Mus musculus: one gene and its partners. The protein of the gene in region 1 interacts with the protein of each later gene in a pairwise test. Links are inferred from orthologs where the notes say so. Each region holds a gene or a part of one and is shown in the gene's direction. Other genes may lie near its edges. The genes, in order: Fxr2, Bysl, Paf1, Baz2b, Rabac1, Zmat2 and Scel.

The links.
Region 2: the proteins of Fxr2 (region 1) and Bysl interact in binary tests that used the Homo sapiens proteins (3 or more experiments, as listed by UniProt). The two-hybrid records come from large-scale screens. The link is inferred for Mus musculus from reciprocal best matches to the Homo sapiens genes FXR2 and BYSL.
Region 3: the proteins of Fxr2 (region 1) and Paf1 interact in binary tests that used the Homo sapiens proteins (3 or more experiments, as listed by UniProt). The two-hybrid records come from large-scale screens. The link is inferred for Mus musculus from reciprocal best matches to the Homo sapiens genes FXR2 and PAF1.
Region 4: the proteins of Fxr2 (region 1) and Baz2b interact in binary tests that used the Homo sapiens proteins (3 or more experiments, as listed by UniProt). The two-hybrid records come from large-scale screens. The link is inferred for Mus musculus from reciprocal best matches to the Homo sapiens genes FXR2 and BAZ2B.
Region 5: the proteins of Fxr2 (region 1) and Rabac1 interact in binary tests that used the Homo sapiens proteins (3 or more experiments, as listed by UniProt). The two-hybrid records come from large-scale screens. The link is inferred for Mus musculus from reciprocal best matches to the Homo sapiens genes FXR2 and RABAC1.
Region 6: the proteins of Fxr2 (region 1) and Zmat2 interact in binary tests that used the Homo sapiens proteins (3 or more experiments, as listed by UniProt). The two-hybrid records come from large-scale screens. The link is inferred for Mus musculus from reciprocal best matches to the Homo sapiens genes FXR2 and ZMAT2.
Region 7: the proteins of Fxr2 (region 1) and Scel interact in binary tests that used the Homo sapiens proteins (3 or more experiments, as listed by UniProt). The two-hybrid records come from large-scale screens. The link is inferred for Mus musculus from reciprocal best matches to the Homo sapiens genes FXR2 and SCEL.

The regions. Positions count from the first base shown.
Region 1 is NC_000077.6:69,631,511-69,635,770, forward strand, and holds the start of Fxr2 (fragile X mental retardation syndrome-related protein 2), read left to right. Parts: upstream 1-1,460; 5' UTR 1,461-1,807; coding exon 1,808-1,888; intron 1,889-3,889; exon of another isoform or gene 3,890-4,009; intron 4,010-4,260. UniProt on the Homo sapiens protein: mRNA-binding protein that acts as a regulator of mRNAs translation and/or stability, and which is required for adult hippocampal neurogenesis. Specifically binds to AU-rich elements (AREs) in the 3'-UTR of target mRNAs.
Region 2 is NC_000083.6:47,608,693-47,612,801, reverse strand, and holds the start of Bysl (bystin), read left to right. Parts: upstream 1-1,309; 5' UTR 1,310-1,630; coding exon 1,631-1,895; intron 1,896-4,109. Other genes in the region: Gm20517 (predicted gene 20517), read right to left, coding at 1,110-1,123; Med20 (mediator of RNA polymerase II transcription subunit 20), read right to left, coding at 1,110-1,123. UniProt on the Homo sapiens protein: Required for processing of 20S pre-rRNA precursor and biogenesis of 40S ribosomal subunits. May be required for trophinin-dependent regulation of cell adhesion during implantation of human embryos.
Region 3 is NC_000073.6:28,395,996-28,399,883, forward strand, and holds the end of Paf1 (RNA polymerase II-associated factor 1 homolog), read left to right. Parts: coding exon 1-62; intron 63-138; coding exon 139-207; intron 208-288; coding exon 289-392; intron 393-614; coding exon 615-731; intron 732-825; coding exon 826-954; intron 955-2,452; coding exon 2,453-2,558; intron 2,559-2,663; coding exon 2,664-2,754; intron 2,755-2,830; coding exon 2,831-3,255; 3' UTR 3,256-3,388; downstream 3,389-3,888. UniProt on the Homo sapiens protein: Component of the PAF1 complex (PAF1C) which has multiple functions during transcription by RNA polymerase II and is implicated in regulation of development and maintenance of embryonic stem cell pluripotency.
Region 4 is NC_000068.7:59,912,741-59,916,240, reverse strand, and holds part of Baz2b (bromodomain adjacent to zinc finger domain protein 2B), read left to right. Parts: intron 1-2,045; coding exon 2,046-2,701; intron 2,702-3,235; coding exon 3,236-3,500. UniProt on the Homo sapiens protein: Regulatory subunit of the ATP-dependent BRF-1 and BRF-5 ISWI chromatin remodeling complexes, which form ordered nucleosome arrays on chromatin and facilitate access to DNA during DNA-templated processes such as DNA replication, transcription, and repair.
Region 5 is NC_000073.6:24,969,929-24,974,076, reverse strand, and holds the start of Rabac1 (prenylated Rab acceptor protein 1), read left to right. Parts: upstream 1-1,348; 5' UTR 1,349-1,494; coding exon 1,495-1,550; intron 1,551-1,762; coding exon 1,763-1,975; intron 1,976-2,218; coding exon 2,219-2,316; intron 2,317-3,888; coding exon 3,889-3,990; intron 3,991-4,001; exon of another isoform or gene 4,002-4,067; coding exon 4,068-4,148. UniProt on the Homo sapiens protein: General Rab protein regulator required for vesicle formation from the Golgi complex. May control vesicle docking and fusion by mediating the action of Rab GTPases to the SNARE complexes.
Region 6 is NC_000084.6:36,792,628-36,796,722, forward strand, and holds the start of Zmat2 (zinc finger matrin-type protein 2), read left to right. Parts: upstream 1-1,295; 5' UTR 1,296-1,314; coding exon 1,315-1,332; intron 1,333-1,669; coding exon 1,670-1,763; intron 1,764-2,413; coding exon 2,414-2,537; intron 2,538-3,409; coding exon 3,410-3,483; intron 3,484-3,871; coding exon 3,872-4,017; intron 4,018-4,095. UniProt on the Homo sapiens protein: Involved in pre-mRNA splicing as a component of the spliceosome.
Region 7 is NC_000080.6:103,607,341-103,610,593, forward strand, and holds part of Scel (sciellin), read left to right. Parts: intron 1-760; coding exon 761-869; intron 870-3,253. UniProt on the Homo sapiens protein: May function in the assembly or regulation of proteins in the cornified envelope. The LIM domain may be involved in homotypic or heterotypic associations and may function to localize sciellin to the cornified envelope.

The DNA.
Region 1 (4,260 bases):
ATCTCCCTTTCTTGGTCACAGAGCTCTGGTTCATCCCACTGTGGATTTGATAATCTCCCAGAGACACGTGGTCCTTCAAACTCCTGTACCATTGGGCCGCTATCAAGTTCTTCAAGTTTCTGATGGTGTCATCTGTGTTGCATTTAACCCTGACTTCCTTTCCAAGAAGGTTGTTGTTAGCAGCCTCAATCATTGTGGTGGCAGCTTAAATCTTGACGACACAACCTGTAGTTTGAACACTGATCCTATTTTATTTTGTTAAGTATTTATTTAATGTATATGAGTACACTATTGCTGTTTTCAAATACACCAGAATAGGGTACCAGTTCCCATTATAGATGATTGTGAGCCACCATGGGGTTGCTGGGAATTTAACTCAATACCTCTGGAAGAGTAGTCAGTGCTCTTAACCACTGAGCCATCTCTCCACCTCACACCCCTTATTTTTACAAAAAAAAAAAAAAAATCTGTTATACGTGTGGGTGACCACGAGTGATGTTATATGTATGATGTTCAGGAGACAACTTGCAGGAGGATATCTCCTTCCATTTTGTGGTCTAGGAATACAATTCCCGTTAAGCTTCGTATTCGAGCCATCTCTCTCTCTCTCTTTTGTTACTCCATGACAGTTTTTCCTGTATTGAATCCCCTCAGAATTTATGCATCAAGTTATGTGGCATTTTGTTTTTCATACGGCACTAAATTTACTAGAATACTAGTCAACTTAGGGCAAGCATGGTAATGACATGGCTGTAATTTTTGCACTTGGGAGGTGGAGGTTGGAGGACCTATTCAAGGTCATTCCCCCACTACCTAGTTAGTTCATGGTCAGCCTAGGACACAAGAGACCCTGTCTCACAAAACTTAAAAAAAAAAAAAAAAAAAAAAAAAAAAAAAGTCTACTTAAGCCAACAACAGTGACTCTTGATTCTCCTATGGATGCAGAGAGTCAACACATGCGCATGGACACCAAAGCCCAGCGCCTGCGCACTGGGCAGTTTTTGCCTTTTGGTTCCCCCCCCCCCCCCCTTTTTGGAGTGTGCGCACCAAGAAAGACAAAGGTGGTGAAAGTGACCAAGCAGTCATTCGGGCGCATGCCCATCCCTAAATTGCCCAGGCTCCATGGGGCTCACTTTGTGGAGGCGGAAGTCCAATCCGATGCAGCGAGCGCGGCCCCCCTCTCCCTTTGATTGGTTTGCTTCCAGTGTTGTGGGGCGGGGAAAGGAAGGGACAGGGACAGTGGAAGGTTGGAGTGGTACAGAGAGCGTTCGCCTCGTTCTGCGCAAGCGCAGAGAGGCGACCAGGAGGGGGCGTGAGAGAGTGCAAGAGAATGTGGAAGCCCTGACGCGCTGGCGAGCGGGAGCTGGGTCGCTAGCCTAGACGCCTGCGCCTTGGCCCTCCGGCTCCGCGCGCGGCGGGCGGGTGCCCTGTGCGCCTGCGCAGTAGGCGGCGGCAGCAGGGGGAGGTGGAGGCCGTGGAGCGGCAGCGGCGGGTCCCGGGACCGAGGCAGCAGCGGGGGCGCCGGCGGGCGGAAGCTGAGGTGACGAAGGCGGCGGCGGCGGCGGCGGCCGTTTCCCTCACGGTGGCGGAGACCAAGGCAGCGGCGGCGGCGGCGGACGGGGAGCGGCCCGGCCCCGGCCCCCTGCTCGTCGGCTGTAGCAGGGCCGCCGTGGGGCCGGCCCGGCTCCCGCCCCCCGCGGCTCCCCCTCCGGCTCCTCCTCCAGGGAGACGCCGGGGACCCGGCCCGGCCCGCACTCAGGGCTCTGTTTCAGCTGCTGCCGGGCCAGTCGGAGGTGGTGGCGGCGCCATGGGCGGCCTGGCCTCTGGGGGGGATGTGGAGCCGGGACTGCCCGTCGAGGTGCGGGGCTCCAACGGGGCCTTCTACAAGGTGAGACGGCGCGTCGACCCGGGCCACCCTCCTTAGCCCCCTCCCCCAGCCGAGGCAGGGAAGAGTGGAGCGGGATCGAGTTTCTGGAGCTTGGTCTTGACCCTTAGAACCTTCGACCCACGTTCCCACTCGAAACCCTCCCGTGGCGATCGTGGGAGTTAACCCTCGTGCTTTTATTTTGAGCTCGCTGTTACACCTGCTTTTATCAGCTGAAAACATGGCCATCAGGTCATTCCTGTGCGGGGATGGGAGCCCCGGGTCCCTTTGGAGAAAGCCCTTTTCCTAGCTTCTAATCGACTTTTCTTGTTTTTTTTTTTTTTTTTTTTTTTTTTTTTTTTTTTTTTTTTTAGTGTAGGCGATACTTCAGCTTTTAATCACATCACCCCTGCAGCCCAAGCACATGGAGGATTCGCATTCTTTTCCTACATGACCCCCTTGGGAAGGTCCACTGTCCCACATTAGGTCTTCAGGGAGCCTTCTGCCTACTGGCTCTAGACCATTTGCTCAACTTTTGGTCTTAAATTCCTGTTCCCAGGCTGACAAGAAATGGTCAAAACCCATCTGTGTTATTTAGCATTAGCATCTTTGGCCTCAGGTTTTTATCAGCCAGCCATAAAGTGGATTTGTTGGACAAGTTTGTCACCCACCACACCTATATTCCAAAATCACCTATGAGGGATGGATTCACGCTTATCTCTTTGACTCTAGATATATTTAGGTCATTCCTCTATCTTCTTGGTAAGTTTAAGCTTCACTGTCTCTCAAAGGCCATCTCAACAAGTTCTTATTCTAACAGATTTCTGCTTGTTGACAATCCTTCTGGAAAGAAAAAAAGTATCTTTCAGAATTGCTTCTTTAATCAGCTTTTTCTTTGCCTAAGATTTGATTCCTGTGAACTTTTTTAAGGGGTGTGGTTGGGACAAGATCCCCTCCCTGGCTGCACTTGAACTCTTCCTCAGCCTAGGATTACAGCTCTGGCGTTACTGGTTGAGCCACCATGCCAGACCAGACTTTTGTTTTTTCCTTCTTTCTATCCACCACCCACCCCATCTTCTGTATCTGTCCTGAGTCTATTCTGGATCCCACGCCCCAGATATTTTCTTCTTCTGATCAGTGGGGTTCTGAACATCTTTTGACTTTTATGAGTGGAATTGTCCCGGACACGTTTGGTCCCTCTCTTACTCTTCATCCTGGAGAGAAAGAGGAATTTCCATAGCATGAGATGGGTGAGAAGAGCCCCTTTTTCTTCAGGTTTCCTCAGGTTGTCTGTCCCCCTACCCTAGTAGAACTTCTACTTTCTTATGCCCTTGGAAATAACTTTCTCTGACTCTACTATGAAATTGTATCTTTTTTGTAGCTGAAAAAAGACTTAGGTTTGCCCTACCCCTGTAGATGGTTCCTACCCTCACTTCAACTGATATGCTAGTTATCCATTATAAAGGCCAGGCCATTTTTTTCCCTTTTCTGATCAAGTTCTTTACCCAGTGCCTATGGGTGCACATACCTATTAGCTTTAATGCAGCTTCTCAACTAAGTCTCGGTCTTTTTAGCTTGGTATTTCTGTATTCCTGTGTATCCTTGATGATGTCTACCTGTCTAGTCTGTGTATAGCTGAAGAAGGCTCCTAGCTGATTCTGTCACTTTCCTAACTCTTGGTACTTTTTCTTCAGACCAGAACAGTGTCTCTAACATTTCTGTTTTCTGTAGCAAAAGTCTTTAATTCTTTTGGCTTCTGAGAGGACACATTAATGTTTTAATATCTATTTCACCCACATTTGTATTACCTTTGTTAAAACAGTCTCCTCAGGCTGGGTATGGTGGTACATACTCTAACCCTAGTACTTAGAAGGCTAAAGTAGGATTGTTGAAGTTCAAAACCAGCATGGGGAATGGAATCCAGTCTAAAACAACCCAAACAAACCCAAAAAGTACTCTTTATTATGCTCTCTTTTCCTCGATATGTTAGTCTTCATCTGTATCCTTCTAACATCAAAATGTTAAAAATTCCAAAAAAGCTGTGTGTAGGTGTGTGTGTGTATATACATACATACACACACACACACCTACACACACACCCACCCCCGTTCGATTTCTGGGTACAGGATTTCTCTATGTAGCCGTGGCTGCCCTGAACTCAAACTCTGTGGGATAGGTCTGCCTTTGTTGAGTGCTGGGATTAAAAGCATCCACAACTACTCTTAGTTTGAAAAGTGGTTCTTAAATTGAGTATGAGATCAAGATAAGATATTTGCATTTGGTTTAAGGAAGCTCAGGAGCCATGCACAGCTGGGACAGATGAGTGCTCAGTTCCAATTAACTGTATGACATGGTTGGGCTGGGACATGAATTCTGTTACACATATGGGTATCCAA
Region 2 (4,109 bases), on another chromosome or scaffold:
GACCAGGCTGGCCTGGAATTCACAGAAACTTGCCTGACTCTGCCTCCCAAATGTTGGAATCAAAGGCATCAGCCCTCAGATGGATTGCCTGACTCTTCCAAAGGCCCCAGGAAAGGCCCTGTCCTGTATCAACTTACTGCAAACAGGGAAACTGAACTCTAAATGACTCTGCTGTGATCTGTCTTCATTGCTCACAGGCATTCTTTACAGTAGGGTAGAAGTATGAGATGAGGCTCCTAGTGTCAACTGTGGCAAGAGCCTTCCTTTCACAGGGCAGACCTGTGGCCCCTGGCCTCCAAGCTTCTTTAACTGGAAAGAAGCACACCACTACCAAGACTTTTAAGTGCTGAGGCCGAGTACTTTAAAATTAATACCCAGAAAAGCACGGTGCCCAAACCTTACCAACTGCCTTTTTATCAAGTGAGACTTCAAACATGTTTAAGATAAAAGTCAATCAAAACTGTCTGAAGCCCAGGCGATGGTGGCTCGCGTCCGTTTCATCCGTGCGCTTGAGAGGCAGAGAGAGGCAGGTGGATCTCTGTGAATTCGAGTCCAGCCTGTTCTACAGAGTGAGTTCCGGGCCTCCCAAGCCTACACAGTGAGACACCCAGCTCGAAAAATTGTCTCTGCCTGGTACTCCGAACTCCAAACTCCCAACCGCTCCTTTCCTCCTACCTCTGTCACTAGCCCCAACACCTTAAAATGGCCAATTCAAAGTCTGTAACTGCAAGCAAAATAGAAAAGTCACTTTCTCCTCGCGCCACTCTTATCCCTTTCTGCGAACAACTCCTAATCTAGAAACCCTATTTCTAACCTTTGGGTGCTAGTAGCGACACTACAAGGCCTCAAGGACAGGAAGAGGTACCAAGAAAAAGGTACAACTCCTGGCGGGTCCTAGGGATGCGCTGCTCCCTTTGCCAAAGGGGTGTGTCTGGGAAGAGAGAAGTCCCACGCAGTGTCCCCCATCCACACAACCGGAAGACATCTTGGTCAGCCCCCCGAGGAACCGAGAACCTCGGTCAAAATCCCTTTCCCCGGGCCATCACAGGCCCACAGACACCTTCACGACCCTATATGCTCCGTCACCACAGAAGCCCTTCAAGTCCTACCACGTCACTCCCATAGCGAAGGATCAAAAGGTGGCGCCTCCAAACCCTCGAACTCAGAGACTCCAGACCTTCACGCGAACGGCGGCCCCCTAAACACAGGAAGCAGTCGTTGATCGACCGCCGGAAATGCGCAAATACTGAGCGCCGCGGCGACACGCCCACAGGGAGCGCCATCTCTGGTACCCAGTGGTGACATTTCTAGAACGTCATCGACTCGGCTCCGCCCCCAAGGCGTCCAACGGGTTGACAGGACGCCCTAGGCTACTTTCATGAATTCTGGAAAAGGGTGACTTGGACATCCACCTTTCTAATGAGATTACCTGAGAATTTGGGGGCTCCTGCTATAGGTCCCGAAGCTCTTCCTGAGAGTAATAGATGAGGAACTTCCGGCCTCCTAACGCTGGGGGGCACTGTGATCTCTCAGTGGCCTCTTGGCGATCGGAACACACAGCGCAAGCGCAGTATCGGCTTTTTAGCCGGCTTCACACGTGTGAACCTGGTGGGCAATTTTTTCGGCCAAAATGCCCAAATTCAAGGTGACACGTGGGGCCAGCAATCGGGAGAAGCATGCACCTCTGGCCGAGCAGATCCTGGCTGGGAACGCAGTGCGCGCGGGGACCCGAGAAAAACGGCGGGGGCGTGAGGTCGAAGAGGAGGAAGAGTATGTGGGACCCCGGCTAAGCAGACGGATTTTGCAGCAAGCCAGACAACAGCAGGAGGAGCTCGAAACTGACCATGGGGCTGGTGATCGGTCAGCACCACCGCGAGAGCGCGCCACGCGGCTGGGTGAGTGACAAGGGGTGGAGTCGTGAGTTGGGCCGGTCTGACACCCCATCAGAATACTTTACCGGCGTGTTCCTCCACTTCCACTCCTGAATTCCAGAATTCAGAGTTAAGCCAACGAAAAGTGATCTCTCACACCAGTTCTAGCATTATTTTATTTTAGGTTTTTTTCGAGACAGGGTTTCTCTGTATAGCCCTGGCTGTCCTGGAACTCACTTTGTAGACCAGGCTGGCCTCGAACTCATAAAGCTGCCTGCCTCTGCCTCCCAAGTAAAGGCGGGTACCACCACCACCTGGTGGTCTAGCATTTATTTATTTATCCTCTGGGCGTTTGAAGTATTTGTGGACTGCCTGCATAATGTTTTGAGCTGTGTTAAGTTTTTAGGCAGTTTTGATACAGAAATAAGATATTCGTTCCTCCTGATAACACCGGAAGTCTAGCTCAAGGCACCCATTAAATAGAGTTACATATTCCAAGCAGGAGTGGCGAGGCTCACCTGTAATCCCAGCACTCGAGAAGCAAGGCAGAAGACCTTCTTGGCTATATAGTAAATTTCAGATTAACGAGCCCTGTCTCTCAAGAGAGAGGAAAAAAGTGATGATATTTCTATTTAAACAAAAAAGCAGATGAACATTAATTCTACATGGTGGGTATCCCAGATTTCATGTCCTTCGAATAAGACCTGAAAAGCAAGTGGGGACTGTCCCTGTCCCAGCGACAGGGGAGGGGAAACAGTATTGTTTACGGGCTAAAAGGGGGAAGAGGGGTGGGTACTGCCACCTGTCTCACTGGGGAGGAATTGTTGTTCACCTCCCAGTTGCTTAATCTTCCATTCTTATTTCTCCTAAAAAGCAATATTGACACATTTGAACATGGTTTTGGGCCTACAGCAGCTTTTTCTGTTTCTTTTAGTTTTTTTTAAAGTAAGGGCTCATGGAGCCTGGGATGGCATCTAATGCTGTAGGGGAGGCTGACCTTGAACTCCTGATCTTGCCTCTGTTTTCCATGTGGTGGCATGATAGGTGGGTGACACCACACCTGCCCTTAAAATAACTTTTTTTTTTTAACTCTGAGACTGAGTCTCGTTAAGTTGTTCAGGCTGGACTTGAACTTGCTGGGTGACCAAGACAAGGTTTGACGGTCCTTCTGTGGTGTCGTCAGGGAATTTCACTTTGAGGCCATTTGTTTGACAGCTACTTCCAGTTTTTTCTCCCTCAGAGTTCGTCCAAGAAAGCTCACATCTTTATATCCAGTGGTCTACCTGACATCTCCAAGTTGAATACTAGTATCTAACTCTAGTAAGATTGCGTCCAAGCAGGGCAGTGGTGGCGCACGCCTTTAATCCCAGCACTTACAAGGCAGAGGCAGGTGGATTTCTGAGTTCAAGGACAGCCTGGTCTACAAAGTGAGTTCCAGGACAGCCAAGGCTACCTAGAGAAGCCCTGTCTCGGAGAAGGAAAAAAAAAAATAAAAGAAGAAGATTGCATCTAAAACAGAAGTTGTGACTTCCTTCCCAAACTTGCTCTCTGTTTGCTACTTGGAGGTTGTTAGCACATTAGCTCCACTGCTCCAGTCAGAGTCCAGGCTTCCTCTTTCTCACTTCAAAGTAAATCCTGGTGATGTTGTCTTTAGAGTATTTCAGAGCCAGACCACTTTCCATTCACCTGAGACACTCCCTGATTAAGCTACCAGGGTCTCTCCCCTGGATCACTGTGGAAACATCGTGCTTTGAATTCTGTGACCTCTGTGGTCCATTCAGCAGCTAGAGATTGATGGCGTCCTGTCTGGTCTGTCTCTGTTTCAGGTCTGACCACAAGCTAGGGACAGGATAAGATAATGCTCACAGCTGGTGAGGTCCATGCTTTGAGAGAGCATGAGCCCTGACTTCCACTCACAGCAGCTTGTAGTTTCTGAGCTACAGTGTAGAAGACAGATCTCTTGGGCCTACTGGGCAACCAGTCTAGCCTAATCAGCTATCCCCAGGTCCCAGTCAAATCCTGTTTCAAAAACAAGGTCATCAGCTCCCAAGAGTCACTTCCATGATGCAGGGTTCACTCATATACAAAAAGCAAATGATCACAACAACAAAACACCACACAAATGTCAGTGACTGTCTCCTGATTTTCTCTCTTTTCCCTACGTCGTATTTCATAGCTCTTGTCTTCCTTTGTTTAACATGTATTTTGTGTGCATGTGCGTGGCATGATGTGTGTAGA
Region 3 (3,888 bases), on another chromosome or scaffold:
ACAAAGACAGGGACAGCCAAATCACAGCCATTGAAAAGACTTTTGAAGATGCCCAGAAATCGGTAATTGGGGGGAATAGAATAGAGGCAAGAGTGTGGCTCAGGGTCTTCCTCTTTCTCACCCTTTTTGTTCTATCAGATCTCCCAGCATTACAGCAAGCCCCGAGTGACACCAGTGGAGGTCATGCCTGTCTTCCCAGATTTTAAGGTCAGACTCAGGGAAAGAGGCGGGGGTTGCTACTTGTGCCTGTCCAGTCCTTACTAACTTTAGTATCTTTCTATTTCCCAGATGTGGATAAACCCATGTGCTCAGGTCATTTTTGACTCAGACCCAGCCCCCAAGGACACAAGTGGTGCAGCTGCATTAGAGATGATGTCTCAGGCCATGATCAGGTCTGTGGTCTTGCTTTCTACCTTGTGTGCTCCTTGCTGCCTCTCCCATGTTTGAGTATTTTTGAGATGGGTTATGATCCTGTTGTCCTGGCTGACCTCTAGGCTCCTTGCATTCCTCCTGCCTCAATCTCTGGAATGTTGAATGTATAGGCATGTGTCACCACACCTAGCTTTGTTACTTCTTTGCTTTTGACCTTTGTACCCTCTTCTCCCCCAAACCAGGGGCATGATGGATGAGGAAGGGAACCAGTTTGTGGCTTATTTTCTGCCTGTGGAAGAAACACTAAAGAAACGAAAGCGGGACCAAGAGGAAGAGATGGACTATGCACCAGATGATGTGTAAGTGGGTTAGGGTTAGGGTCAGGGTCAGGTTTTAGAATTCAGAAGTATGTCTCCTCCTCATGAATCAATGGGCTGTGTATCTTCTTCCCAGGTATGACTATAAGATTGCTCGGGAATACAACTGGAATGTGAAGAACAAGGCCAGTAAGGGCTATGAGGAGAACTATTTCTTCATCTTCAGAGAGGGTGACGGAGTTTACTACAATGAGCTGGAGACCAGGTACTCGGCACTGTTTCATGACTTTGGCCCTTTGTGGTCCCCCCCCCCCTTTTTTTTGAGACAGGGTTTCTTTGTGTAGCCCTGGCTGTCCTGGAACTCACTTTGTAGACCAGGCTGGCTTCGAACTCAGAGATCCGCCTGCCTCTGCCTCCCAAGTGCTGGGATTAAAGGTATGCACTACCACGCCCCCCTCTCCCCCCTTTAAAGACCATGCTAGGACAGCTACAGCGTACTTACATATAATAAATAAATAAATAAATCTAAAAAAAAAAAAAAAAAAAAAAAAAGAGAGCAGCAGGAGCCTGCTTATAAATGTAGGCTGGACCTGGCTGTGGTCTTAATGCCATAAACCAGAAAGAAAATTTTCACATAATGCAGGATATAAATCTAGTCATTTTTCTCACACATGATAGGCAAGTGCCCTCCTGTATGATACATTCCTAGTCTCAACAGTTTTTTTTTTTTTTTAAAAGATTTATTTTATTAATATATGTAAGTACACTGTAGCTGTCCTCAGACACTCCAGAAGAGGGAGTCAGATCTTGTTGCGGATGGTTGTGAGCCACCATGTGGTTGCTGGGATTTGAACTCTGGACCTTCGGAAGAGCAGTCGGGTGCTCTTACCCACTGAGCCATCTTACCAGCCCGTCTCAACAGTTTTAATAAGCTTTTTGTATGTGACATGTTTATGTTCATGCGTGCACATACTGGAGCCAGAGGTTGCAATCAGTTTTCCTTTGTTGCTTTTATTTTGTGTGCATGTATGCATATGTATATAGTCATATGCATGACCTGGCATGCACTTGGATGTTAGAGGATAACTTGGGGCAAGAGTTATTCTTTCCTGTTCCACCATGACACTTTACCAACAGAACCATCTCCTATACCCTTCAGCAGGTTTTAAATACTTGACACAACTTCAAAAGTGTGCCCTTGTTGTGTGACCTCAGAACCTTTCTCTGAGGGCTGAAAGCTAACTTGTCCTAGTGCCAGTGGTTCAATATGGCTCTGATCCTGTTGTCTGGCTGGAGATGTGAAAACAGGCAGTGGCATCACCTTTAGTGAGTACTACAATACAGCTGCAAGTCCACTGCTCTTCTATTTAAAATCCAGAAACACACGTTTGCCATTTTCTTGGTTTTATGCTTTGGATAAGAGGCCTTGGAAAATGACTTAGCAGTGATGAACACTGGCTGCTCTTCAGAAGACCTCAGCTTATATCCCAGTTCCCAAGAGATTCTGATGCTCTCTTGCGGCTTCTTGGGGTACTACAACACAACACACATACAGGCAAACCACCCATTCAATTAAAATCTTGAAACAAAAAAAACCCTGAAAACTTAAAAGTTGGGTAAGTCAAACCCGAAATACCATCTTTCACATCCACTGTATGTATACTTTGTCCTCTGTTATGTTCTGGGTCAAATATTGATAGGGAACCAGATGTTAGACTGGTCCTAGTGGAGCCCAACTCCCCTTCTGCAATTGTCCACTGCAGGGTCCGTCTAAGTAAGCGCCGGGCCAAGGCTGGGGTTCAGTCAGGTACCAATGCCTTGCTTGTCGTCAAACACCGTGACATGAATGAGAAGGAATTAGAAGCCCAGGTAAGCTGTACTGGCCCAGGATGCCCAAAGGGAGTCTAGTGGGTAAGGATGGCATCAGAGGTCTGATAGATTTCTTTCATCTTCTTCCCAATTTGCTGGTTTCAGGAGGCACGAAAGGCCCAGTTGGAAAACCACGAACCAGAGGAAGAGGAGGAGGAAGAGATGGAGGCTGAAGAGAAAGAAGCTGGGGGCTCAGGTAAAGGATTAGTCACATCCTGGGAGCCCTGGGAGGGTGGGCATTGGGATCTCACCAGTCCCCTACTTCCTCACAGATGAGGAACAGGAGAAGGGTAGCAGCAGTGAGAAAGAAGGCAGCGAGGATGAACACTCTGGAAGTGAGAGTGACCGAGAAGAGGGTGACAGAGATGAGGCAAGTGACAAGAGTGGCAGCGGTGAGGATGAAAGCAGTGAGGATGAAGCACGTGCTGCCCGGGACAAAGAGGAGATTTTTGGTAGTGATGCTGATTCAGAAGATGATGCTGACTCTGATGATGAGGACAGAGGGCAGGCCCACAGGGGCAGTGACAATGACTCGGACAGCGGCAGTGATGGTGGTGGCCAGAGGAGCCGCAGCCAGAGCAGGAGTCGTAGCCGGAGTGCCAGCCCCTTCCCCAGTGGCAGTGAGCACTCAGCTCAGGAAGATGGCAGTGAAGCAGCAGCCTCTGATTCCAGTGAGGCTGACAGTGACAGTGATTGAGCCTCAAGGCTTTCTAATGAGATCAGCACAGACACCATTTTTAGGGCAGGGAAGCACTTTTCTAGTTGTCTGTTTTGTGAGCTTTTGTCACTACCCCTCAATCTTTGCTGTTAATAAACCTAACTTCTCTTGACTTCATCTCCTAAAGTCTCTGTTCCCCTTCACATCATCTTGCCGCTGCCGCCCCCCTTCCCCCCCCCAAGAAGTACAAAATCAAGTCCCCATGGATTCCCAGGAAATGCATCATAAGAAAAATGAAGAGTCTTTTTGGTTATTTTGTTTTTGTTTTTTTTGTTTTCCAAAATAAGCCCAGACCATTAACAATCGAAACTTCAACAAATAAGTCTTTTCCAACAGCGAGAAAAATGTACAGTTACTCAAAGCTGATTCTGCCAGTGGGGCTGGGGACAGAAGTGGGTAGGGTAGGGTGAAACCATGGAGGGGCATGGGGGTGGGAGGGTCAGGGTCCTGCCTGTCAGAGCGAGGCCGCCTGCGTCCTGCACTCTGCTGTCAGATGGGTGGGAAGCTCTCACCTCCCTCTTGGGGAGGGTATCCCTCATCACCTTCCAGTGCCAGGCAGGGTCAGTCACCCTGATGGGAAGTGAACAAGACAAGACTGGACCGGCTTGTGGG
Region 4 (3,500 bases), on another chromosome or scaffold:
AGCTGCCCAGAAAAAGAATTAGCATGACCTATAGAATTCATTCCATTTCGAAGCTAAGTCAAGAGAAGGATGTGAGCGCTTTTAAATGTTTCCCAAGACCTGGTGACAAATGACACTCTGTGTCATGCAGATGATCACAACGAAGCTCCTGGCGCTTCTTGCCATGGGATGCTCTCACTAGAGCTTCAGAGAGAATTAAACACGCTCCACACTCTGAGGGGCTGAACCTAGGTGCCCAGTGCACGCCACAGCAGCGCTGGCTGTCAGCGCACTGTAGCTGCGGCCCCAACTCCATCCTCTAGTGCCATCACTGGGACATGTATTAACCCTTTATTTTATAGCAGCCCCGTGGTAAGGAGAGCTTATTGGCTTGAAGTCCACTGGACACACAAGGGGAGGACTAAAGGGGAGATCAGTGTGTTTAATGGTGAACTCTAAAGGAAGTATTCCAAGGTGAGTGAGAAGAAACAGCTCTTATAGACATGGAGGCCAAGAAATAGTAGATAGAACACTATCCTGCAAGAGATCAGAAAGCACAAAGGCCTGAAGGAAAGTCTTAACACACTGAGGAGCAGAAAGTGGGGAGAAAGGCCAGTGGTGTGGGGATTATAGGGGTTTTCACTCAGATCTTATAGAATGCTAAGGCCTTAGAAAGGACTTGGGATTTTATCCTCTATTGCAGAGGAGTTTACAGAATTCTATTTATACAGTACTACAAACCATAAGCAGCACACACATACACATATGTTGACACACATGTATACACACAATGTAAAATGGACATAAACAAATGTGTCTCCAAAGAAGCCATTCAAATGAGAAATAAATATGAAAAATGATGAACGCCAGAAGCTAGATACTAACTGGTATGTGTAACTTCGTTATACATACATAGAATTGATTAAACATGACTCCCACTGAGGGGAGGTAAGGGTGAGGGGACTGCACTCTACATGACTGAAGATTTTAACCGGAAAGTCTGTTACTTTTCTGATAGAATTATAGAAGAAATAATAAATCATAAAGAAGATAATTAGTCAACTAGTGATCAAATGTGATCCAGATTAGTTTTTTACCTCCTGGGCATTGGCAAGGAAAAAAATATTGACAGCATACAATTTTGTTGAGGATGTAGAAAACTAGCTACCCTTGTGTGCTTCTGGTACAAGTGTATTTGGGGTACAGTTGATCCAAGTATGCTTCAAGAACTGTTACAAGTATATAGCTTAAGTTGCATGTTTTAAAGAATTTGCCCAAGAAAATAGATATGAAAAATACAAAAAAAAATGAAAATACATATCATGTATTGTTAATAGTGGCAGTTACGCTCTGCCTAGTCTCTTGACAGGTCAGTCATGATGTCATCCATTTAGAATCATGTAGATGTAGTTATATATTTATTGATATTTCCAATTAATTTAATCAGCTAGTCTAGATCAGGTTCCCTTTTTCAGATTACATAGGCTGAGTGATTCATGGTGAACTCCTTGGAGTGTTATGTAGATCTAGTGGTTTTCACTCTGCAGATTTTGTTTTTAATGATTGAACCTTTGGGACAGGGTTATGTGTTGTATGTGTGTCTGTGCCATACACGTGGAAGGCAGAGGAGGACATTGGATGTCTTTCTTTACCTCTCTTGATTTTATTGTCTTCTGTTGGGGTCCCTGACTGAACGAGGAGCTGTTCTTGGCTGCAGGCTCCTAGGAGCTCTCTGCTCTGCCTTCCAACACTTGATTCCATACATGTGCAGTCATATATGCCCATTCTTTATGTGGGTGCTGGGATTCAAACTCAAGTCTTTGCAGTTGCACAGCAAACATTCCTACCCCCGCAAGCCATCTCCCTAGCCCCCATAGTTTAATCTTTATAGTGAATATATACTAAGTTTCTAATGAGTGAAAGAAATTCCATAGGAAAAAATGCAGAATATAAGATAATACAGGAGTTTGCTTCATATACATATGATTTGGTGAATAATACAGTTTAACTCCATTAGTGGTTTGTTGTGTAATAATTTTCTTTAATGGAATCTTTTACTTTTGTAGGCCTAGAAGAAATTGCAAAAGAAAAAGAAAAGCTTAAAAAGGCAGAGAGTCTCCAGATCAAAGAAGAAGTATTTGAGACTTCTGCGGAGACATTAAACTGTTCCATTAGAGATCACTGCGAGCAGAAAGACGACCCAAAAGAGAAAGATAACACAAATCTATTTCTTCAGAAACCAGGCTCTTTCTCCAAGTTAAGCAAGCTTTTAGAGGTAGCTAAAATGCCTCCTGAGTCAGATGTTATGACCCCCCCAAAAGTGAATGTTAGTACAAACGGGGGCCCACTGTCTCATCAGAACAGCGGGAAGCATCCACTGGGGAGCGTTCCCTCAGCAACAACAGCACAAAGCCCCGTGGGAAAGACAGACGCCAGTCTCTTTAGCTCAGGCTCCGGCAGTTGTGGGAAGTTCTACAGTCCTCTCCCCAATGACCAGCTGTTAAAAACACTGACTGAAAAGAACAGACAGTGGTTTAGCCTTTTGCCAAAAACACCTTGCGATGACACGTCCCTGACCCACGCTGACCTGTCCACCACTCTGGTGACTCCTCAGTCTCAGCCACCATCTAAGTCACCTTCGCCGGCCCCAGCTGCACTGCTCGGACCCTCTTCTGTTCAGAGCCCCCCTGGACTGAACCCGTTTGCTCTGTCGCCTCTTCAGGTTAGTGATGCTGACAAAACACACTGTGCCAGCACCTCACTGAACCCTTAGTGATCTTCACAGAGATCAAAGTTAAAATATCCTAACAGGCCTGAAATCCCAAGCAGCCAGGATTTCTGTCACCAAGCTTCATTGGCACCGCTATTGTCTAACCAGTGTCTAGGTTGACCTCAATATTCAGTTCATTACAGTTGCAGGATAGCAAACATGTAATTACTCTTCAGGAACAGATACAACATGAAAGTTAACATTGTTGCTAATGGATTTAGGTTTTCTCTGGTAAAAAGGTAAGAGTTTTAGAATTTGAAAAATAATTTCTAAACATTCCTCCAACTCTTTAGATGAATTGGTATTTGGTTTTTTAAATGTTTTTATTATTATGCAACATTTTTAAATGTTTTGTTATTATGTATCAGAGGGTAACTTGCAGGAGTTGGTTCTTTCCATCATGTGGGCCCCAGGGACATCAGGCCTAGTATTAGGTGCCCTTACCGACAGAACCCTAATCTGGGGTTGAAATGTTGTGTTTTACAGGTGAAAGGTGGTGTGTCTATGATGGGACTTCAGTTCTGTGGGTGGCCTGCTGGAGTGCTCGCTTCCAACGTCCCATTTACATCACCTTTGCCTGCTCTCGGCTCAGGGTTGGGACTGCCAGAAGGAAATGGCAGTAGTTCATTCTTGACTTCCAGTGTTGCTTCAAGTAAAAGTGACTCTCCAGTCCCTCCAGCTGAAAGACCCTCCAGCGCTCAGCCAGTGGCTGTTGAAGTAGCAAAGCCAGTAGATTTTCCTAGTCCCAAAC
Region 5 (4,148 bases), on another chromosome or scaffold:
TGGGGGAGGCCCCTTGAAGTCATGCAGCCGGCATTATGATCAAGGTCTCGAGTTCCTGTTAATATCTTCTGGCTTTTTCCCAGTGCCACTTGCTCTGGGAAGCACAGGAAAGAGCTCAGAGCCAAGTCCCATCTCCCACAGCCTTCTCGGATGTCTCCTACTACCTACTGACTCAAAACCCATCTAACGTGAGCCTCCTCCCTCAGGAACCTGAAAGTACCCCCTGCCTCATCACATCTCTACCTCAGGGTCCTCGCTTCCACTGTCCCAAAGGACTCCTTTCCCAGCTTCCAGACACCTATCCTAAAAATCCCAGTATTCAAATTTCTTACATTCTTTGAATTAGTTTGCCACTTTCTGCAACAGTGTTGCCTCTGGATCCCACTGCCTTCTCCACTGCCTTCTCCCGAAGCCCCGACTCCCACCAGGGCAGCAGAGACTTGAGGGTCATGAAATAGAAAGAATTTGCTTAGTCCTCTTAAAGAAACTGAATTGGTTCCCATAGCAGTCAAACCCAGCTGACTTTTGCCGCCAAACTGGTTTCCAAGGTTCTCTGTCTTTTCCAGTACTCTGGCCTTGTGGTGTCCCTCTTTAGTCTTTAGGCTAACTGTACATTTGCAGTCCTCCACTGATCTGAAGCAATGCTGGACCCCAAGTGGGAAACCCAGACACAATTTCCTGCTGAGTGGCCCATACTGAAATCCCAACCCGGAGGAGTTCCGTTCCCAGCACCCATGATTTCTAGACAGCTCATAATTGCCTGTAACTCCAGTTCCAGGAGCTCTAAAACCCTCTTCTGGTGGCACACACGCATAAACATATAAAAGTAAATCTTTTCTTTTAAAATGCAAACATTTATTTTTAAATCATGTGTATCTGAGTGTGGGTATGTGCACATGAGTATGTCTGATTGGCTAGAGCTGGAGTTTCGGGCAGTTGTGAAGCACTGGGTGTGGATGCTGGGAACCAAGCTATGATCCTTTGAAAGAGAAACAAGTAAGCCATCTCTCCTGTCTCACTTTCAAAGTAAATACTTTTAGGAAAGAAAAAGTAAATGAACTCTTTCCCAGACTTGCCCAGTTAGAATCAGAATATCTGAGTTTTCGAACAATGTTTTATTAAGCTCTCTCGAGCCAGAACGACAGCTCTGCACGGTCCACGGAAGTACGTTTCTGCCATTCGAACTCCCACAAAATCCTCTGTCCTGACAGTCCACCTGCTGTAGTCCACGCTGAGCCTCCTGAAACTACAATTCCCACAATGCCTAGAGGCTCCCGACGAGCTCTTAGCATACATCTCCCAAGATGTCTTGCGAGGCAAACCTGCCTCTTGACGCCACGATGACTACAACACCCACAATGCTTGGAGGAACAACTACCGCCCTCTAGAGCTCCCAACGACGCCACTTCCAAAGAGTCCCGGCTGGGGTGGGGCCGCCTAGGTGCTGCTGGGCTCCGGGCTATTTACAGCGGTTCTATCCACTGCAGTGCAGACATGGCGGCCCAGAAGGACCAGCAGAAGGATGCCGAAGGGGAAGGGCTGAGCGCCACGTGAGCAAGCAGGGTGTTACCCCCAGATCCGAGATGCAGGAGTCCCTCATCTCCTCAGAGGTCCTGGGAGGGACTCAGTCCTGTTGGCTCCCTCTCAGGACCCTTCCTCCTAGGGGTTCAAGGTCATGCTTGGGACCAGGTGTGCTAGAATCTGGGGTCCAGATTCTACCCTCTCCCTCCCTTCAGCTGCTCTGCTCTGCCCTGCCCATTAGGACCCTGCTGCCCAAGCTGATTCCATCCGGCGCAGGCCGAGAGTGGCTGGAGCGGCGCCGGGCGACCATCCGGCCCTGGGGCACCTTCGTGGACCAGCAACGTTTCTCGCGACCCCGCAATGTGGGAGAGCTTTGCCAGCGCCTGGTACGCAACGTGGAGTATTATCAAAGCAACTACGTGTTCGTGTTTCTCGGCCTCATCCTGTACTGCGTGTGAGTGCCTCTGCGGCCCCGCCCTCGATAGTCAGACCCCGCCCCCGGCTGCCAGGCCCCGCCCAGACCAGTTAGCCCACTTTGTCACTACAGGACCCGGTCAGTCTGTACTCCTGCATTCACCTGACCAGGATGTGGCCTTCGCTGGCCTAGAAGGACGTAACCTCAGTCTGTGTCCAAAGCTAGAGGGGCCTGGCTGACGCAGCCTCGGATACCTAACTCCTGTCTCCCACACTCTTCCAGGGTGACATCTCCCATGCTGCTGGTGGCTCTGGCTGTCTTCTTTGGCGCCTGTTACATTCTCTATCTGCGCACGTTGCAGTCTAAGCTTGTACTCTTTGGTAAGAAATCTCCTGCCCAAATGGCTCCTCGGGCCTTTCTGATCGTGGTCTCACGGAATGCAAACTTCCGAATAGTTGGGACCCAAGACGGCCCCCACCGAGCTGTCCACTAGAGTCACTTAACTTGGTCTTTAAGGGCTTAGACCCACCAGGTGCTCCCCTCCAGTCTCAGCTTCCCAAACCCAGAGAGACCCCAAAGCCCTGGCACCTCTGTCTCTTGTAAATGACTTAATCCAATTCCACTCAACCCCCCCCCCCCCCCCCCACGGAACGCATCAGCTGCAGATACCCACACTGCACACCAGGTGGCGACCTCATGCAGGCCTAGATCCGTGTTCCTTCCCAAGTCTTGGCCCTGATGATTCTCAGAGGGGAAGGCTGAGATCTGTAAGTCCGGTGGCCCCAGACTGTCACCAGGACCACTGGAAAGAAAGGTGTCAGGGAAGACCCAATGAGGGGAATCCAAAAGTTTCCGAGGAGACTTAAAATAAGTCTTTCATAGCCCAGCAAGCTTAAGGACCAAACAAAGATAGGCTGTGGCAAAGAAATAGACTGAAGCAGGTCAGAACTTGGCTTCTGCAGGTAGTGGTCACTAGGACATACACACTTTTCAGGCATAGGAGAGCGTGGGGCGGGGGTGGAGGAAATTAATATATATGTACTAGGGTTTAAAGAGTGTGTTGCTATGCCCTAGCCTTAAAAAATGTGTAATGCGGGCCCTCTGGAAGAATACGTGCTTTTAACTCCTGAGTCACCTTCTCCAGCCCCCACAAACCAAATTCTCGCAAGGTGCATCAAAGAACACATCCTTAAAACCAGAAGCTGGCCTGTGCCTCTAATCCCAGCACTTGGGAAGCTAAAACAGGAGGATTGCTACAAGTTCAGGATAAGCCTAGCCGGGCGGTGGTGGCGCATGCCTTTGATCCCAGCACTCGGGAGGCAGAGGCAGGCGGATTTCTGAGTTTGAGGCCAGCCTGGTCTACAAAGTGAGTTCCAGGACAGCCAGGGCTACACAGAGAAACCCTGTCAAAAAAAAAAAAAAATCAAAATAAGTGCCTAGAGAGATGGTTCAGCAGTTGAGTACTCAGTTGAGTACTGTTCTTGGTTTGGTTCCAAGCACCCAAGTCAGGTGGGTGCCCATGGCCACCTCCTCATGGGCACCTGATCTTGGGCACGTATGCGTGCAGGGCATATACACACAATTCAAAGAAATAAATCTTAACAAAGGAAAAAAGGGGACAAAAATCCTTAGGTCAGATTTGACTGTGGAGCCACCAGCCTGAGACTCCCGGTGACCAGGGTGGAACATCAGGCCCTAGTCTGAAGTGACCTGAGGGCTCCTGGGAGAGGTGAAGCTAGACAGCAGAGGTGGGGCAGAGGAAGGTTGTTATGGGGACAGGGGGCTTTGGGGAGGCAGGGTAGGGGCCAGGTATGGGAGACACTGATGTGAGGAGTCTGTATTATTACATGGAAGGTTCCAGAGTCTGTGACACTAGATGGGTGGAAAGTGACCCTGGACACTTGTGGGAAAGGGTCGGGTGGGAACGGCTACCTTACACCATCTGTTCCCAGGCCGGGAGGTGAGCCCAGCACATCAGTATGCCCTGGCTGGTGGCGTCTCTTTCCCCTTCTTCTGGCTGGCCGGTGCTGGCTCTGCTGTCTTCTGGGTCCTGGGTGAGTACAGGGTCTGTGTAGGGTGAGGCTGGGAGCCAGGCGAAAGAGCACAGCCTGAACCACCCATCCCCCTACAGGAGCCACGCTGGTACTCATAGGCTCCCACGCTGCCTTCCACCAGATGGAGCCTGCAGATGGCGAGGAGCTGCAGATGGAAC
Region 6 (4,095 bases), on another chromosome or scaffold:
GGGGAATCTCTTGAGTGTAGGGTCACTTGAATAAGAGTAAAGATTAAAACTAGCAGGACATAAGAGGGGTTTAATGTTTAGACAGCAGGTTGGATAGATGAAGAGGGTAAGATGCAGGGGGAATTTGGGGAACGCAGCCTCAAAGAGGGAGGTCTTTAGGGGAACACAGAAGGGCAGAGGTCCTGTGACTCTAGTAATATACCAAGGAATCTCTACAAAGAGATTTTCAGGCCAGCCAGGGCCAAATAGTGAGACCTTGTCTACAAACATACCACACCTATAATCCCTGTAATCCCTCTTAGAAAGTGGTGGCAATAAGTTCAGGCCAAAACTGAACTCTAATTTGCCTAGCAAACCGTATTTTAAAGACTAAAACACTTGTGACTGTAGATGCCCCATTCACCAGCATGTACTATGAATGTGGCTCTAAATTATGCACAGAAGACAAGTAGTTTTACATTGTCCCCTCCACCACTACTACCCCTGACCCCCACCACCACCCCTGCGCCGCCAAAAAAATTAGTGCTACTTTTTGGTTAAACTCATTTTGATGTCTGGAGAACATCTAAACTCATTTCATTTATACAGTACAATTTAATCTTGAAAACAGAATCAGCCAACACCCTAGAATGAAGCATTCGCCACTCTAACGAGTGCTTAAAATATGTTGTTTGTGGAAGAGGTTTGCTAGGCAGGAAATTGCCTAGCAGGGAACCTAGCTCAATTGGTAGAATTGAGCTTGATAGCATGAATGAAGCCTCTAGGACCACATGAACCGGTCGTGGTGGTACATGCCCCATAAATTCAGCACTTGGGAAGTAGAGGCAGGAGAGATCAGAAGTTCAAGATTAGAGACTATATAGCCAATTAGAGTTCAGTTTTGGCTACCTGAGAACCTGTCTTTAAAAAAAAAAAAAAAACCAAAACAACCAAAACTAGAAATCCGGTAAAAAACAAAACAAAACAAAGAAACCCCTAGAAATCAGGTAAAGTTGGTTAGATCATGGAGCACTATTTTCAAAACTCTGATTCTTTGCATAATAGAAGAGATGAGCTATTCTTCTGGGCTTGTTTTTAAAGCCAGAGAGAAAAACGTTGGCCCGTGCCCTTACTTCCGTGTAGCTTCACACTCCCTTTGCGCCTGCGCCATCTCCCTGGAGCAGAGGGCGGGGCCAACAGGACTGCCTTAGAATCGCTCCAGTCCTAACGCAGTCAGAATGAGAGGCTCGGATCTTATTGGAGCGTGATCTTGCCTTCTGGCTCCAGGGCGCGTTTTACTGCACTTTACGGCTTCCCATTCACTTCGCTGTGAAGATGGCGTCTGGCAGCGGGGTAGGTGTTGGTGTGACGAGGTTTGAGGGGTCTGGGGGATGGCTTTTCAGAGCTAAATAGAGACAGGCTGTGAGATTTGACTGACTTCCTGACACCTCTTCGCGATCTCAGGGTTCAGGTTCGAGAGCTCCCCCGTAAGGCCTTGGCGCAGGGACAGTGGAATCTCGGAAGTCTCTCGGGTTGGGGGTCCCGAGTCCACCAGACCCCTGGGCGTTCCAGAGAGACTTCTCTTCCGAAAGGTCCTGGGGCCGCCCCGGTGGCCGTTAGGCGGTTCCCTTAGTTTCTCCAGGGCAACAGGCACAGCTACGTATCTTGAGCACCTTTTCCCCCCCTACAGACAAAAAACTTGGACTTTCGCCGAAAGTGGGACAAAGATGAATATGAGAAGCTCGCGGAGAAGAGACTCACAGAGGAGAGAGAGAAGAAGGATGGTGGGTGCTCGCTCCACGAAGGGATAAGGGGACGGTAGAGATGATGCTGTGGCTAGAGAAGGAATGCCTCAGCAACAGGATAGATAAATCACTTGCAGTTAACGAGGCAAACAAAACAAAACAAAACAAAACAGAACAAAACAAAAGCCCTAAAGCTTTTTCCTCTCCTTTTTACGTGAGCTTCCCCTAGGCGTAGCCCATATTCCAAATCAAATCAAATCAAAACCTCCCAAACAAGCGTGTCCAGCTGCTTGGGTCTTAGTTGATTCCAGATGTAACTGCATGAAAACATTGAACATACGCTACTCGGTGTGAGTACCCCTCTTTTGAAAGGGTCACCTCCAGGAAAAATTCAGAACTCCTCAGTTCAACTAGACAACACATAGGAAACACTGTTTACATTTGCTGGCTTTAAAGGGAGAAAAGCTCTTGAGAGTTGGCAGTACCATTGCAAGTCTGAGGCCAGCTTGGTCCACATAGTGACCAGGCCTATGTCTATATAAGTCCAGGCCAATTAGAGTCTTTCCTAGCCTCTTTGAATTGCTACATAAAGTACCTGTTGTGTCCGTTCTTTGAGGAATTAAAAAGAAAAAAAAAAAAAGCATGAGTAGTCTTCTGAATTTTGGGGTTCATAATCTTTTTCCTTTCAGGGAAACCAGTGCAGCCTGTCAAGCGGGAGCTTCTGCGGCACAGGGATTACAAGGTGGACCTGGAGTCCAAGCTGGGGAAGACGATTGTTATCACCAAGACGACCCCACAGTCTGAAATGGGAGGGTGAGTTGCTTCCTGTCCGACTCTTAATACCACAGCTGGCCTAATAAACTGTATTGGTTTTTAGGAAGTGTTGAGGAGAATCCTGGGCCCAGGGATGGCCACCGTTCTGACCATAACCTGATTCTTTGTCTTTCTTTGTCCCCTGAAGTTTGTAGCCCACTCGGTCCTATTTCTAGGAGGGGTGGTTCTCTGGGCTTCTTCCTATTGGTACTGTAATACTTCCCTGATATCTTCAGGGGGGCTATATAGTCTGTTAGAAGACCTGAAGGCTCGGGGTGGGTTTTAGGTGGAGCTGTTAACTATAGTTTTTGTGCACCAAGATTGTGACCTATCGAAGAGTTTCACGGACCTTGTCACCCTTTGCCACCATTCCTTAAAGTCTGTCAAAGTTACAACTTACATCAGGAGACTCAGACAGATAGCAATCCACTGTTGTGATTCCTTTGCTGTGTACATTAAATAGTTAGCAGCATAACATAATAATAGCTCATAGTTTCTGTGGGCAAGGAATTGAGGGGTGGTCACCTTGGAGGTTCTGGACCTGGGTCTCTAATAAAGCCGCAGTTGTGGAATTGACTAGGTTTGCATTCGTTGGGGCTTAAATAAAGTTAGAAGGTCCTCTTCCAGGCCCTCCCGTGCCTGTGGTTCGGAGGCTCAAGTTTATTCTCTGGGCCTGCTTGTAAGGTCATTCACAATGAAGTGTAAAGAGGGACTTTCCCTAAAGCAAGTCATGTGAAGTTTGTCTGTTTTGTTAATTGAGACATTAATTAGACATCATCTAATTTTACCTAGAGATTTGAGTTTCTTTCCTGAAAACAGTAAGATCCTTAGAAACCAGATTGACCCATGTGCTGTTTCTTCCCATTTGTCAGCTACTACTGCAATGTCTGTGACTGTGTGGTGAAAGACTCCATTAACTTCCTGGACCACATTAATGGAAAGAAACGTAAGGCATGGAGGTAGTTGGTGGCTGGAGCTGGGTTGGGTTTTAAAGGTGTGCTGGAGGGCAGGTGTGGTAGAGTGGTTTTCTGGGGCCTTTCGTTTGTTCGTTTGTTTGCTTGCTTGCTTCTGAGTATCCCTGGCTGTGTGCTACCTGTGCATGACCACAGAGGCCAGAGGAGGACGTTGGCTGGCCTTGATGATAATCTGCCCAGTAAATAGGAGCAGGTGAGGCTGAGAGCTTCTTTTAGCCATAGTTATTTTTGTTGTGTACTTTATTATGAAAAGGTAAACAAGTAAACAAACCTAAAAAAGCCAGGGCGAGACTTTCCCGGGGGGGGGGGGGGTGGCTGAGGATGTTATAATGACTTGTCTCCGTTGTTAACCTCACCCAGATCAGCGAAACCTGGGTATGTCCATGCGCGTGGAACGCTCCACTCTGGATCAGGTAAAGAAGCGTTTTGAGGTGAACAAGAAGAAGATGGAAGAGAAGCAGAAAGATTATGATTTTGAGGAAAGGATGAAGGAGCTCAGAGAAGAGGTGAGGCTCTGCTAACCCTGCTCCCCAGCTTGGAGTGTTTTCCTTGTGGACCGAGGGTGGCCCTCTTCCTCCGCTCAC
Region 7 (3,253 bases), on another chromosome or scaffold:
ATGTATAGTCAGAGTCACTCAAATAGTTCTCTCAGTAGCATGGCAAGAGAATACAAGGATGCAGATCATGACAACATTAATGTATGCATGCACTGCATAAGTATTATGTATTTTCATTTCATTGCCCTTTCATGTATGCTATTCTGGATATTTTGGCCCTGCTTGCTAATAATGCTATAAAACCAGAAAAATCTACTGGGAGCTGTTTACAATTCTAAAACCTTTCAAAAGGAAAAGGGTCTTTATTTAAAGTCTGCCATGATTTCAGATTTTTGACTGTTGATCATATCTATAGTTCATTTATTGTTGAAGATTAAGTTTCTAAAATAAGTAAGAAAAACCACTTTTTTCCTCATCAATTTGTAGCAGGCTCCTTGTGAGTTTATAAACACATCCCCAAATTGAGTTCTATTTGGGGCCTATTGAATGTTTTCAGAAATGAAAATTTGCATCAATCTGCTGTCCAGTCTCCCTATGCAGTGTATAGAGAGATCTATGTAAACTCGTTAAAATGTTCTTCTAGCTTCAAGGAATGCTTCTGATTTAGTTTAACTGGGAAACTGAGCATCTTTTTCTGCCCTTGCTCTTGATGGCTGGTAAATGAATCATGTGAGGCTTTTCCTGTGTGTTGTTTCCTTGATGTTCTTACATCCTAAAACCCCATCAGTATCAACACAGTCTCGTGTGACTTTAGAGGGCACACACCTGTCCCTACGTGACGGCAAATTTTAAATGGTTTTTAATTCTATCGTCACTACAGGTCTGTCATTGAAAGAGACATGTGCACTTACTGCCGCAAGCCCTTGGGGGTGGAAACCAAGATGATTTTAGATGAATTACAGATCTGTTGCCATTCCACCTGCTTTAAGGTAAGTGCGTGCTCACTTCATGTTGGAGTGTGAGGAATGTGGCACAACGCCAAGGGAAATGCACCTACTGAAGTGCTTAGTGTGAAGCCAAAGCTTTAAACGCTCTGTGACCCACATCAATACCATGCTACTCATGTCCCTAGGTGCTCTGCAGCGTCACCCTCAAAGGTCTATAATTACTCCCTCGGTTTTAGGCTTAGAATCTGTCACTCACCCATCTCTTAGGAGACTTCGGTCTGTGGAAAAGATAAGCATTTGTCATTCTTAATTTTCTGTAACATTTTAATAAACTGTGTGTTGCATCATGTATGTAATGGAATCATACATAGACAGTAGACTGTTGAACATAAAGCTAGCTCTTGTCATGAGTTCAAGACTTCACAGCAATCTAAGCAGTGTGCTGTGGAACCCATGGTCCATTGTGGCTGAGCAAGTGGCAGACATGTTCAATGGCAAACACTTCCACGTTTCGCTTTGTTCAGCTCCTTCTCACCTGGGCTTGTGTGTTGTGTCTGTCCACACATGTCACATCTCAGTGCGACTGTGTGAGCTCTGTACTGGGTGTCTGAAGACCTCAGTTCAACCTCTGCCCTTCAGTATGGTGGCCGGTGCATTTGGGCAATCAGATGACCAAGCTTTGGTTTCCTTAGCTAGAAAATAGATCATTGACTGGGATTTGCTTCTCAACACTGGTTGCAAGTATAAAATCATAAAGACTGATTAAGAGAAAAAAAAGCCTTAGAATACTCAGACAGGAAATTTAAGATTGCAGAGATTATTTTCGGACACTAGTTGCTTTAGAGGCTCCTTAGATTTATCTCATGTGCATCCAATGTGAAAAGCCTAAGACCTTTAGATGCAAATTATTTATTTTAGCCAAATAGATGAACGACTGTGTCCATTGGTGGTTTATCCACCAGTTACCTAGCAATCAAAACCATGGTGCATTATTTTAATATAAAATCAGGTATCCAGGCCGGCAGGATGGCTCAGCATGTGTCTCACCTGAAGCCAATCTGAGGATCTAAGTCCTCATCATTAGAGACCGCATTCTGGAAGGAAAGAACGAAGTTGTTTACTGACTGTCTCTTGAGTCTCATGGCATATGTGATTCCAGTAAATAAATAAATAAACAAATAAATAAATAAATAGGCAAATGAAACCATAGCACAATATAGGATTATAAAAGTATAAGATGGATGGACCATCTAGAGACTGCCCTATCCAGGGATCCATCCCATAATCAGCCTCCAAATGCTGACACCATTGCATACACTAGCAAGATTTTGCTGAAAGGACCCTGATATAGCTGTCTCTGTGAGATTATGCCGGGGCCTAGCAAACACAGAAGTGGATGCTCACAGTCAGCTATTGGATGGAGCACAGCGCCCCCAATGGAGGAGCTAGAGAAAGTACCCAAGGAGCTAAAGGGGTCTGCAACCCTATGGGTGGAACAACAATATGAGCTAACCAGTACCCCCTGGAGCTCATGTCTCTAGCTGCATATGTAGCAGAAGATGACCTATTCGGCCATCAGTGGAAAGAGAGGCCCATTGGTCTTGCAAACTTTATATGCCTAAGTACAGGGGAATGCCAGGGCCAAGAAGTGGGAGTGGGTGGGTAGGGGAGTGGGGAGGGAGGGCATGGGGGACTTTTGGGATAGCATTGGAAATGTAAATGAAGAAAATATCTAATAAAAATAATGTAAAATAAAAAGAAAATGAAGCAATTGAATTGTTTAGTCATAAGATGAAAGTATTTCTAGTTGCAAAATATACTCCATTAAATAAACGTATATACCTTTAGATTTTTAAATTGGTATGCATAAAATTTTCTAAAATAGAAATTCTTCTGGTTATTGCTTTTGGTAAATAGGAATAACTTCCATTCATTGCATTTTATGTGATTCATTTCCATTTGACATATTAGAGACCATGACACTCAAAAATTACGCTCATGCTCAGAGAAAAAGACAAATTACTCTACAGCCAGTGCAACAGAAAACCACTTAAACTAGTTTAAATGTTTAATATAGGGATCAAAGACAATTTGCTTTAGTGATTCATCTTGAAAACCAACCAGTATTTTTAAACCTGGCCAATCAGCAGCCATGTCTAAGAAAAATGGAGGCCAACCTTCCCCTGCTCTGTAACTGGTACAACTCCTCACACCCTCCCGCATCCCTGTGTGACCAGCATTTTGTTTGGTTCGGCAGGTTGTGCCTGAGTCACACAGCTCTCCCTTGTGGAAACAAAGGATGAATACAAGTCCGTTTTATTGTTTGAGACATTAGTTGGTTATCTTGTCCTTGCCACAGCTGATTTGTAAACCATTCTTTTGGCTCCTTTGCATAGAGAACTTCTCTGGTGAAGCTCCCTGGACTA